3 linked regions of the Alligator mississippiensis genome follow. The protein of the gene in region 1 interacts with the protein of each later gene in a biochemical or structural test. Links are inferred from orthologs where the notes say so. Each region holds a gene or a part of one and is shown in the gene's direction. Other genes may lie near its edges.

What was found.
Region 2: the proteins of RB1 (region 1) and MRPS18B form a complex in vitro, tested with the Homo sapiens proteins (2 studies listed by BioGRID and IntAct). The link is inferred for Alligator mississippiensis from reciprocal best matches to the Homo sapiens genes RB1 and MRPS18B.
Region 3: the proteins of RB1 (region 1) and DNMT1 form a complex in vitro, tested with the Homo sapiens proteins (2 studies listed by BioGRID). The link is inferred for Alligator mississippiensis from reciprocal best matches to the Homo sapiens genes RB1 and DNMT1.

Annotation. Positions count from the first base shown.
Region 1 is NC_081824.1:413,414,647-413,418,391, forward strand, and holds the start of RB1 (retinoblastoma-associated protein), read left to right. Parts: upstream 1-969; 5' UTR 970-1,032; coding exon 1,033-1,139; intron 1,140-3,283; coding exon 3,284-3,401; intron 3,402-3,745. UniProt on the Homo sapiens protein: Tumor suppressor that is a key regulator of the G1/S transition of the cell cycle. The hypophosphorylated form binds transcription regulators of the E2F family, preventing transcription of E2F-responsive genes.
Region 2 is NC_081834.1:53,550,152-53,553,896, reverse strand, and holds the start of MRPS18B (small ribosomal subunit protein mS40), read left to right. Parts: upstream 1-1,223; 5' UTR 1,224-1,227; coding exon 1,228-1,332; intron 1,333-2,755; coding exon 2,756-2,903; intron 2,904-3,203; coding exon 3,204-3,301; intron 3,302-3,745.
Region 3 is NC_081831.1:22,158,722-22,162,466, reverse strand, and holds the start of DNMT1 (DNA (cytosine-5)-methyltransferase 1), read left to right. Parts: upstream 1-878; 5' UTR 879-922; coding exon 923-990; intron 991-3,634; coding exon 3,635-3,677; intron 3,678-3,745. UniProt on the Homo sapiens protein: Methylates CpG residues. Preferentially methylates hemimethylated DNA. Associates with DNA replication sites in S phase maintaining the methylation pattern in the newly synthesized strand, that is essential for epigenetic inheritance.

The DNA of each region.
Region 1 (3,745 bases):
ACCCTGTGCTTGCATGTACTGCCTGCTGTTGGTGAGTACGAAAATTGACTAGTAAAAGTGGTAGAAATGAGTTGGGGGATCAGTACAGTCAAGGTCTTGGAATGTATTCCTATTTGTTACATTGTAAAGTGGGTTCCCTTTATGCAAATGAAAATTTGAGTTATGAGTCGTTTTACAGGAGGACATACAAAAAACTAGAACTCCTTGTTCCAGAATGATGCCATTTTCCAGTTGGTCTAATAAAAGGTAAGAAAATTGTCCTTTTTTGCAAGCTTTTGGGATCAAAGTCCCTTCGTCAGGCTCTGGGAAAAGTGTAGATGGTACAAGATGGTAAAAACTCCCCATGAGTAGGAAATAAACTTCATTTTTGCACAGATGGAGCTGAAGATGGAAGGCTGACCCTCGGGGTCCATGAGAGTGCCTTGGTGAGCTGTGTTGAGTAGCATTTTGATGCCTTGAGCAGGTAGAATTCCTTCCCTGGAGAGGCCAGCTGGCAGGATGGGAGGTTTTCCAGGAGCGTATGTACAGCATAAGACGATGGGAACCTGTACAGTATATTCATTTCTGCTTTAATTCCAGACTGCCCAAACCAGCCCAGAGCCCCGAGCCTGCTACCAGGTTCATTTTTGCCTGGAGAAACACCCAGCGACGCGATGCCCAGCACCCGCCCTCCCTAATCCCTGCGCCCGCCCCTGGATGACACGAGCAGCCCCGCCCCTGCCGGCGAGGGAATGACTAAGCTAGAGCCCGTCACCGGGACAGCTCTCTATTGGCCAGCATTGGCGAGCGCTCGGCCGAGCTCATTGGCTGCGCCGCTCGTGCGAAGCATGACGTGATCAGCACCCGCTGCTTCCGGAATCTTGGCCACTTCCCCTCAGCCCCGCCCATTTGTAGACTCCCCGGGCTCCGCGAGCCGGAAGTGACTATGAGTGTGGGTGGGGCTGGCTGACGTGCTTTCCCGCGGTTTCCCGGCTCGGCCGCGCAGTGTCCTCCGCGGCTCTTTAAACGGCGGCACCGGCGGCGCCGCTCGACATGGCGCCCAGGCCCCCGCGCAGGGGTGCTGCCGCCGCCGTTAGGGGGCAACGCGCCAGCCCGGATCGCGGCGCGGCCCCCGCCGAGCCCCCGCCCGCCGCCCCCAGGTGAGCCCCGCCCGCCCAGCGCGGCCGGGGGAGGGGACAGCATCCCCTCTGCTGCGGCGGGTCTGCCCCGGGGCGGCACGGGGAGAAGCGGAGCGGGGGGGCCGCCCGCCGCGGTGTCTCTGGGCCGCTGCTTGGAGGGCGGAGGAAACTCTGCAGGGTGCGAGAGTGCGGGGTCTCCCCAGGCCGCCCCAGGTCTTGGGGGAGACTTGTAGCTTTGTAGAGATTTGTAAAATAATCCCCCCCACCCCTCCCGCGCCACGGGACTTGAATAGGAATCTGTATGTTAAGCCAGGGAGACATGGGGCTGGAAGGGAGCTCCAGCTCCCTGCCCCGAGGTGGCCTTGTCCCTGTCCGGGCTCTCCTTAGTGCTGCCCTCCACCGTGATGGCATACAGACCAAACACTCTCTCATGCCATGGGGTAAGCCCTGCAGCCAATGTCCTGCTGCTGTGGGGATGCGCTCGGGGTACCCACGACCCTGCCACTCTGGAAGCCAGAAACCCGCACAGTCCATGTCAGTCTGATCATGGGCTAAAACGCCTTCCTATGCCCAAATCTGGCAGTTGGTGTGACCCTGAGCCCTTGGAGGGGCAAGACCCTCTAGCCAGGAACCTCTGACTTGATTCCTAGCAGGAGCCTTGGCACATCCCAGTGAAAGTCCCCAGCCCTGGCTGCAGCCAACACTCAATGCCTCTGTGGCAGGTTTAAAAACACCAACACAGTGGTAGTGGGAGCAACTAGCAAAGCCCAGAAATATGGGAAGTACCATTCAGCCCCGGGGTGGTGGGGAACGACGGACACAGGACTTGTTGAGCTTTTTGCAACAGAATAATTGCTCTAATATTTTTCTGCACCCAAAAAGCCCCCAAGTGAAACTGGAGAGCTGGCATTTCCTGAGGTGGGGTGTGTGGCTAAAAAAACTCTCCTTGAGAACCACTGATCTAGCCTGGCCTAGCTTGGGAATGCATGACCTTGCGTAGGCAAAAACCTGCTCTTTTCTGCAAGTCCATTCATAGCATCTGACAAAAGATTTCTTTTTTCCCCTTGTCCCTTTTCCTTCTATATAAAATAATTTATTTCTGGCAGCCCATTTACTGCCTCAAACAAAGTGGGTTGTTGCTTGTGGCCCCTACTACACATTACATATATTAAACAGTTAACTGGTGAATCTTATAATGCATGTAGGCTGGCCATACATGCAACATAATTCTCATACAGTTAACTGGTTAAGCATACAGTAAATTAAGACCAGCCACATGTGCAAAGGAATTATCACTGTAAAAAAGGACTGTTGAGCTATAAACGAGCCAATCAGCTATAAAGTTAGTACTTGAAAATGTGTAACAATTGTATAGCTGGTTTCTGTCCAGCTTTAATTTGAAGGGGCAGCAGGACCCTATGAAAGCTCATGTCTCACTGAATTAGTCTCTAAGGTGTCACCTTGGCCTAGCTTCTGCCTGACTTAACGTGGCAGATCACCTCTTGAGTCTGCCCTATGTCATGTGAGCTGTAGGATTTTCCTGAATTCTTGTTTGAGCAAAATATTTCTGAAACGCTAGTTTTCATTTTAAAATGGCTAGTAATAAAAAATCTACCATGTTCTTTGGTAAGTTATTCAGTGGTTAATTAACCTCAGTGTAAAAAAATTGGGCCTTATTTCTAATCTAGATCTGTACCATCCAACTCCCCTTAACTGGAACTTGTTTTACATTTTCTTTGCTAGACTGATTGCCAAAGATACATGTAGCTCATGATCAATTCACACCTTAACCCTGTTTCTGAGTTGATTGATTTTATTTTTTTTGCTGCAGAGAGAATTTTCCTTGTTCAGGCTTTTTTCTAAATCCTTTCCATCTTGCATCCTTCAGTCCAGAATCTCTGATGTTAAATGATTGACAGGTTTGAGCCTTGCAGACAGTTTTGCAGAATAAACAGGTTATTCACATTTCTGCATGTGTGTGGCAATGTTCCTAACTTTTTGTTTTGTTTTGGTAAGATGTTCTGTGAAATTAGCTGTAGATGTGACAAACTATTGTCTCGATCCGCACATCTAATTTTTAATACTTAGTAAGCTTGTCAGAGAAGTAATCCCTTATCTGGTGGCACATACTGGCCTAATACTATTTTTTTCTCTTCTCTTGCTAGGGTTGAGTTTGGAGAAGCAGATTTTGTTGCACTTTGTGACATTTTAAAAGTTTCGGATGTCATAAGAACAAGTGCGTGGAAGACATATGAAAAAGTGTCATCTGTGGTTGGATCTCTAGTGAGTACTCGGTATAGCTAATGCTCATGATAATATTGTAGTAGTGGTACCTATTCTTTGATTCCAAGTATTATATTAATGTCTTTGCTTGACTTGACATATTTTTACAGCCATTCTGGGAAGCAAATGATTCAGAATTAAGTCTGAGAACTCAAATGTTGCCACATCACTTTTCTAATGAAAATTTTTACCCAAGTCAAAATGTACAAATGCTGTTGTATTCATGACTGTATATAGTAAAATGCATAGTCCCCCTTTATTTCTATATAGAAAAACTGCTTCTATATATATAAAAAAAATAGTGCTGGTTTTAAATGCTGTGCTGGCTGTCCAACTGTCCTGAC
Region 2 (3,745 bases), on another chromosome or scaffold:
TTGTGTCTTCCAAGGACCGAGTGGGGGGGATTTTCTCTGGTTTCTCTTGCCAAGCTCGACGCAGTTTCAGGACCAAACAAACCTGGAACAGGAAGAAAAAAAAAGAGGGGAGCGCATAGATTAGCATTTTTTGACAGAAATGGATCAAAAAAGGTCATTAAAAAAACAAAACCATAGCACAAACCACATCATCTAACTCATTAAGTTTGAAAGGTTTCCTTCCCGAGGCCAAAAAAAAGGGTTGTTAAAGGGACAATTTGGAAGAGGAAATATATATATATAAATAAAGGGCGGGGGGGTCAGGGAGAGGGGGAGAAAAGGAGCAGGTTTTTTCTGTGCCTTGGGACTTTCCTGACCAACCCTGACCCTCCTTTACTCGAAAGACCCCAGCTCCCTCCGCCAGACCCGAGGGGCTCGTCCTCCACGGGCCTCTGTAACGCCCGAGCTCGCCCCAGGTGGAGGTTGCAGCCCCCCCGCCCAGCGCCCACAAGCCGCGTCGCAGCACGGCTCTGTACTCACCTCTAACCAGACCCCAGAATGGCCGAAAGGCGCGCGGGCGGCGCCTTTTATAAGGAGCCCCGCCCCTCCCGCCCCGCCCCCCCGGCTCGCGCGGCGGCGCGAGAACAAAGCCCACTTCCCGCTTCCCCACCCGCCCCGACTGGACTGATCCTCTGAAACAACGCCCAAACCGAAATCGGAGGCCGCAGCGGAAAGCCTCTCGGCACTGGAAAGCGGCTGCCGCCTTCCAAAACCGTTTTTAAAATCGGGAAAAGTTGTGACGCAGTTTCGCCGGGGCCCGGTGCGCATGCGCGCGGGCGGGCGCCATTTTCGTGGCGTGGGGCGTGGGCTAGGAGGCGCGGGTAGGTGACCGCTCCCCAGCGCTTCCTCAGCCTCGTTGCGCAAGCGCAGCAGTGGGCTGCTCCGGGCGGGGCCAGTGCGCATGCGCGACCACCGCCCGCTATTGTCTTGTGTTTGTGGCGCAGTTTTTATTCCTTCTTGAGCACTGCGCATGCTCGAGGGTGGGGAGGCGCCTCTGGGGGGGGTTATCTCCAGTTCTCTACGAAATGCATGATGCGTTTCACAAGTTAATAATTCTTCCTATCCGTACTTTATCACTAGGGACTAAGAAAATAATATAGTAAAATTGGAGTAATGACCTTTGACCTCAGCGATCACGTGCGACAAGATGGCGGCTACCGGGACAGCTGAGGCTAGAGCTCAGCGCGCATGCGTAGTTGTGCCTCTCTTAACATGGCGCTGGCCATTAGGACCATGCTTTGGCGAAGGGCGATGAGTAGCCTGAGGCAGAGAGGGCGGCTCCTGTGGACCCAGGTGAGGAGCAGGGTTCAGGAGCCTGGCTGTGGCCTGACCGCTGCCAGCCGTGCTTCAGTGACACCTGCATAGTAATGTCATTGCACACCGCGTGGCAGGGCCATTGGGGGGGTGTCCCCTTCCTTGATGTCATCTCGCCTGGATACGTAAGAGGACATCATTGCCACTGCCATGGTTGACGTGCAGAGGCGCTGCCAGCTGCTCTGTAATGTCTTTGCCCTCAGGGGATGTGTCACCTTGTCCCTGCCACCAGGATGGGTTGCTGTGGTGCTGGGATACTGGTGCCTCGGGCGCAGCATGTCATCGTGATGTCAACACGTTACGATGGTGTCAGGCCGCGTTGGCTGACGTGACACGATGTGGGGACCAATGACAAGACAAGGAGCAATAGTCTCAAGATGAAGCAAGTGATGTTTAGGTTGGATATTAGGAAAAACTTTCTCACTAGGAGGGCAGTGAAGCCCTGGAACAGGTTACCCAGGGAGGTGGTGGAAGCTCCTTCCTTGGAGGTTTATAAGGTCCGGTTTGACAAAGTCCTGGCTGGGATGATCTAGTGGGGCTGGTCCTGCTTTGAGCAAGGGGTTGGACTGGATGTGACCTGAGGTTCCTTCCAGCCCTCATTTTCTGTGATCCTGTGTCTGTGTCATCCCCGTGGATGGGCAGGCTGACCACTTACATGGTGTAACGATATTCCTTGTTCTAAGCTGACATGCCTATATCATAAGTACGTTTTTGGCTGCTCCTGCAACCTATTTCTTCAGCATGTGACAACTTCATCACATCATTAACTTAGGTATTGGAAATCCTGTATGGCAGATTGCTGTATGATGTGATGTGATTGTGATAGGCCAAATTATGGCACCATGTATAATATTGTTGTATCACATTGGATTGCAGTGCTATGGTCCATCACACTGCCTTGCATTCTAACTTCAGTGTTTCAGAGTGTTTGGAGATGTTTTCATTGGCGAGCCATTTCAGAATGACAGTTAAGGATGCTGTGAGACTCGAGGCAAAAACAGCTATGGTGGAAACAATTTCTCGCGACTGTTGCCTTACACTGTCCAGTAGCTCCTTGCAGCGACACCTTAGGTGCTAGTGGTTACCCTTGGTGTGTTTTGTTTTGTTTTTAATTTTCCAGGGAAGTTAACAGCAAAACATTTTATGTGTTGTTGAACCTATTTGATTAACCACCCCCCCACCCCACCCCCTGCAAAATCTCCCAGAACTTTCTCAGCTCTGTAGGTCAGCTTTTTCCATTCAGGGTAAAACTCTCAGCTCTTGGCAAGCAGTTCCTATGTGATAGTTCTGTGCAGCTATCATCAGCTGTCTCACCAAAGAGGTAACTACATTTCTCTGTTACATATCAGCCTTTGGTTCAGAATAACCTGGTCACTTCCTTGCATGTCTAATTGTCTCTCAGGCTTTACCCAGTGCCTCACTCCACCTCCAGCTCCCGCAGCTCCGGGCCTACAGCACAGAAACTGACCCAGCCAAATCTGAAGAGCCAGTTGCTTTTGACACTGAATCCCGCTTTAAGGAGAAGCCTTGGGAGTATCTGGAGACAGAAGGTATGAGTTTAGGGCCTGTAAATAGGTCAATGCTAGGCCTATGAACTTGGCACCGTTGAAGCAGAAAGTTTGGAATTAGGGCTCTTGTGTTCTCTTGGAGGGAACTGATATCTAGGAGTTAGATAGCTGGGTTCTCTTCCCATCTCTGAGCACAGCTTGCTGTGTAATAACTAGCTAGTCTCTCTCTTAATATCCACATAGTGGAGCTAAAGCTATCGAGGCTATGTTTATTCATATACTTTAGAATCCTTAGGGTCAGCTCGCCTTAAGGAATTGTTAACTTTCCTCTCTTCTGCACAGAATACATTGAGAAATATGGTAACAATCCTGTCTGGTTTGGCTATCGACGTAACCACCGGGGCTCCATCGGACCTCAGAAGACACGCAAGAAGTGCATAGTGAGTGCAGCCCCTTCTCCCTGCCAAGGAAGTGTGCGCCTTGGATGATAGAGTAGGGTCGAAAGTAGTGCTTAGTTCCAACACCAGATGATTCTGCATTTGAAATTCAGCTGCTCAGTGTGAAGAGGAGAGGTGGGGAGAAGGGATGAGAAGTACCAACAGCAAAATCTTGGCAAATCGGAGAGGTGGCTTGTAGGGACATATAGAACTGAAGCAGACTGGGAATCAGAATTTCTGGGTGTAATTCTTAATGCTGGAATGGGAGAGTGGGGTCTAATGGGTTAGAGAACAGCCTGAGAATCAGGATTCCTGGGTTTTATCCCAGCTCTGGGAAAGGAGTGGGCTTGAGTAGCTTAGAGTGCAGAATAGAATAGAACCCATAACACATGGGTTCTGCTTTGAAAGTGGGACTGGACTGGAAAGCTCTAAGGTCCAACCAGCTTT
Region 3 (3,745 bases), on another chromosome or scaffold:
AGCCCCGCAGCTCTCGGTGGTACACCCGACACCTCCTAAGGATGGTATGTCTCAACTCTCCCTGTGTTGTATGTGAAAATGGTTCCTCCCAGTCCTCCTCAAAAGAATGGTACGTCCCATTTGCCCCCTCTACTCTTGGCACACTTGGTACATCCCACTCCCTCCCTAGGGTACAGCCCTTCAGTCCCCCTTTCCCCTGGACGCACATGGTACATTCCAAGCCCCGCCCCGAGGAGTCGAGAGCCGCCCAACTGTCAGCCCGTAGGCAGGGAGGCATTTGGTACGCGCCGTTTCCCCCTGGCGTGTGAGGTTGGTACGTCCCAACGGCAGTCCGACCAGGTATGTTCCAAAGCTCCTTATAGACCTTTTGGGGACGTGGTACAGCCCACCCCGTCCCTAGGAAGAGGATGGTACATCCCAACTGCTTTTCCCCTGGGCACCCCCGTTCTCCCGCCCTCAGTGGTACGTTCCACCTCGCTCGGCCACCCCAACCCCGACCGCACCATCATCCTTCACCCCCCTCCCACTTGGGTCCTCGTAGTACCTCCTTCTCCCTATGAGATTGGTTCCGCCCATCTGCCCCCCACCCCGCGCGTGGAACAGTCCTGGAGCCGCTCTCCCCCCACCCTCATGGAACAGCTCCCCCCCCTCAAGGCAGTGGTAGTGCGCTCTCCACCCCCCACGCGTGGAATAGCCCCCCCCGTAATGGTATCGCCTGCCTCCTCCGCACGCGTGGAACAGCCCACCCCCCCACCCAGTAGTGGTATCACCCCCGCGCGTGGAACAGTCTCCCCCGGCAGTGGTAGCGCCCGCCCCCCCCGCGCGCCGGATGGTCGGCGCCGCCCCTCCCCCCGGCGCTGGTTTCCGCGCGAAATCGCCGCCCGCGCCCGGCCTCGGCTCCCGCGCCCCCGCCCCGAGCCCGATGCCGGCCCGGGCCGCCCCGCCGCCGCCCGCGCCCGCGCTCGCGCTGCCCGCCGCGCTCCGCCGCCGGTGAGTGCCGGGCCCCGAATCGGGACCCCCGCGCTCAGGACCCGGGCCCGGCCTCTGCGCCCAGGATCGGGTCCCCCGGGGTCTGGTCCCCCGCCCTGACTCCTGCATCGTGCCCCCGGGGCCGGGACGCACCCCCAGGATCAGGCCCTTCGCTTCAGCAGGGTCACCCCTGCCTCGGGGTCACCCCCGCCAGGCGCCTGGCCCCACGTGCTGCCCCGGGGCTGTGTCGGGGTGTGCTTTGTCGGCCTGGCTGGCCGCGGGGTGCAGCCCTGGCACAGGGGCACGTCCTGGAGCTGTGGGAGGGGGTAGCCTGGTCCCAACTGCTTTGAGCTGTGCCCCCTGCCCCCCCAGCCGTTTGGGACAGGAAGTGGTGCCGTGTCCCATCACCTGGTGGCAGGGCTGGGGGGGGGGAGCTGCAGCTGCGCTGGACACTCTCGCCATCCTGGCATGGGCGGGGGGGCAGACATGGCGCCACGGCCACCCCCACCCAGCAGGACCCTGCTCACAGGCACTCCCGCCAACCGTGCCTGTGATCATCCCCCCAGCAGCTGCCTTTGTCTTGGTGCTGGGGCAGCCCGCGGGGCCCCTCAGCTTGGCAGCCGGGCCACCTTGAGCCCCTCATTTCCCCAGGCTGCAGTGGGGGGAGGGGCAGGGGGCTGAGGACAGTCCCAGATGTCCTGTCCTCCCTCACCGCGCACGAGGAGCTGGCCTCAGAGTTCGGCTGCACTTGGTTTGGAGTTAGCTTGGCGCTGTCTCCCAGCCCAGAGGCCTGAATCGCACAGCCGGGGCCATGCCAGGGACAGACTGGGGCCCTCTGCATCCAGCCACAGGGCAGGGTGAGCGCCAGCCCGGGTGGGCCGTCCAACTGGCAAGGCTGGTGGTGGCAGCAGCGGCACCGGGAGCTGCACGTGGCGCGTGCTTCCTGTAAGGCTGCTTTGCCTCACTGCCATTGTCCAGCCGGCACCGCTGAACGGGAGCAGCAGGGGCATCTCTGCTGCCTCCCCATGCTCGACCACGGAGCAGCCCCCAGGCAGCCTTGGCAAGTCAGACCAGGGCTGCCTGGGCCCCATCACACCTCTTCCGGCCAGGCAGTCCTGCAACCCTGGCACTGAGCACAGCCCCCATCCTCCTCGGGTTCCCTGCATGGCTCCTCTCCTGGTGAAGAGGGTGGGACATAGGACCTGCTGTCTCCCCCTGCCCCCCCCACCCACTGGGGCCAGGCGTCTGTGGTGGGCTGTGCTGCTTGGCCCATCTGCAGAGCTGCTGGCAGGGCAGGGGCAGGGGCAGGGGCCGGGAGCAGGCGCGGTGGGGAGTGCGCGGGAACGGGGAGCCCACGTGGCCTCAGTGGCTGCCGGCACACACCCGCTCCCTGTGGGCCGTCTGCCAACTGGGCCCCTGGGCAGTCAGGCAAGGGCCCAGGGCGTCACCGCTGTGCAGAGGAGGTGGTATCGTGTGAGCCTTCCAAGGAGGGAACACGGGAGCTCATCCGAGGGCAGCAGGGAGCGCCATGGCGCCTGAGTGAGGAGAGATTGGGGCGCCAGCATCCCCGCTGCTGGGCCCGCCTGTGAGAGCAGTCAAGGCTCCTCCCCTTTGGCCTGTCCCTGCCGGGCTCTGCGGGGCAGACCTTGTTCCCCACATGCCCTGGATGGACTGCATCACAGCACAGCGAGTGGCGCTGGCCCCTCGCGTCCTGTCCTCTGCCAGACAGAGGTGCTCCATGGTGCTCTCCCCATATGGAGGCAAAGCCTGGGCAGGCCAGGGCCTGGGCCTCTTCCTGCCTTCCCTCGCAGGAGCCTTGTGAGTTTGTGTCCCCCTGCAGCCACTGCCTAGTCTCCTTGTTTGTCCCTGCCAGGCACAGCCACAGCCTGTGACCTCATTGTGTGTGCCCTTAGTACCCATCCCTAGCACATAAGGGAGTTCCACCCAGGCCCAGGCACTGGCACTGTCCTGTACTCATCCTGGTGCTCCTTGTCTGGCCTTTGCTGCGGCTGCAGTGGGATCTCAGTCTCTCTGATGGCAGCCCCAGACTTGCAGGCCCTTGGCCCTGACCATGGGGGTTTGTGGAGCTGCAGTAGGGTAGGAAGTGTGTGTTGTAGCCGGGAGCTGTCCTAGAGGGACCAAAAAGTCCCATGGTGTTGCACTAGCTTGTGTTGGCCTCTTCTGGCCAGGGCAACCCCCTCAGGAGGGAGATGGGCTAAAGTTCGTTTTTTAAGTGAGCAAATGCTGTGGAAGCCCGAGCCCTCAGGCCATGTTGCAAGTTTTCCTTTCGTGTCCAAGAGTGGGACCTGGGGTTTCCACAAAGAAGCCCAGTCTCCATGCTTGTCACCCTGGCTTGTTTACAGAGCATCACTTCCTGCATCTCCCAAGTGATCAGGACCCGTCATGCAGTTGGAAGCAGCCTCAGTCCTGTTTTCTATCAGTCTCCAGTGGGACTTAGGAGCTCCCCATGTGGCATCAGTCCAGTCTGGGCTGCCAGCACTGGCAGGGCACAGGCCTCTGTGGGAGGTGTTCCCTATCCCTTTTCCTGCTAGTGTGCCTGGGAAATCTGCCCTGGTACTTCCAGCTGGTTTGCAGAGAAGCATGAGATTGTTACCTGGGGGAGTGAAACACCTGGGGTTGTGACAGCAGCTTATCTGTCTTGCAGGCTTCAGGACCTAGAGAAGGATGAAGATGGCTTAAGTGAGAAGGTAGGGCTCTGCTGTCATCCCTATGCTTTCCTGCCTGACAGGAGCCTTAGTCCCATTCACACCTACTT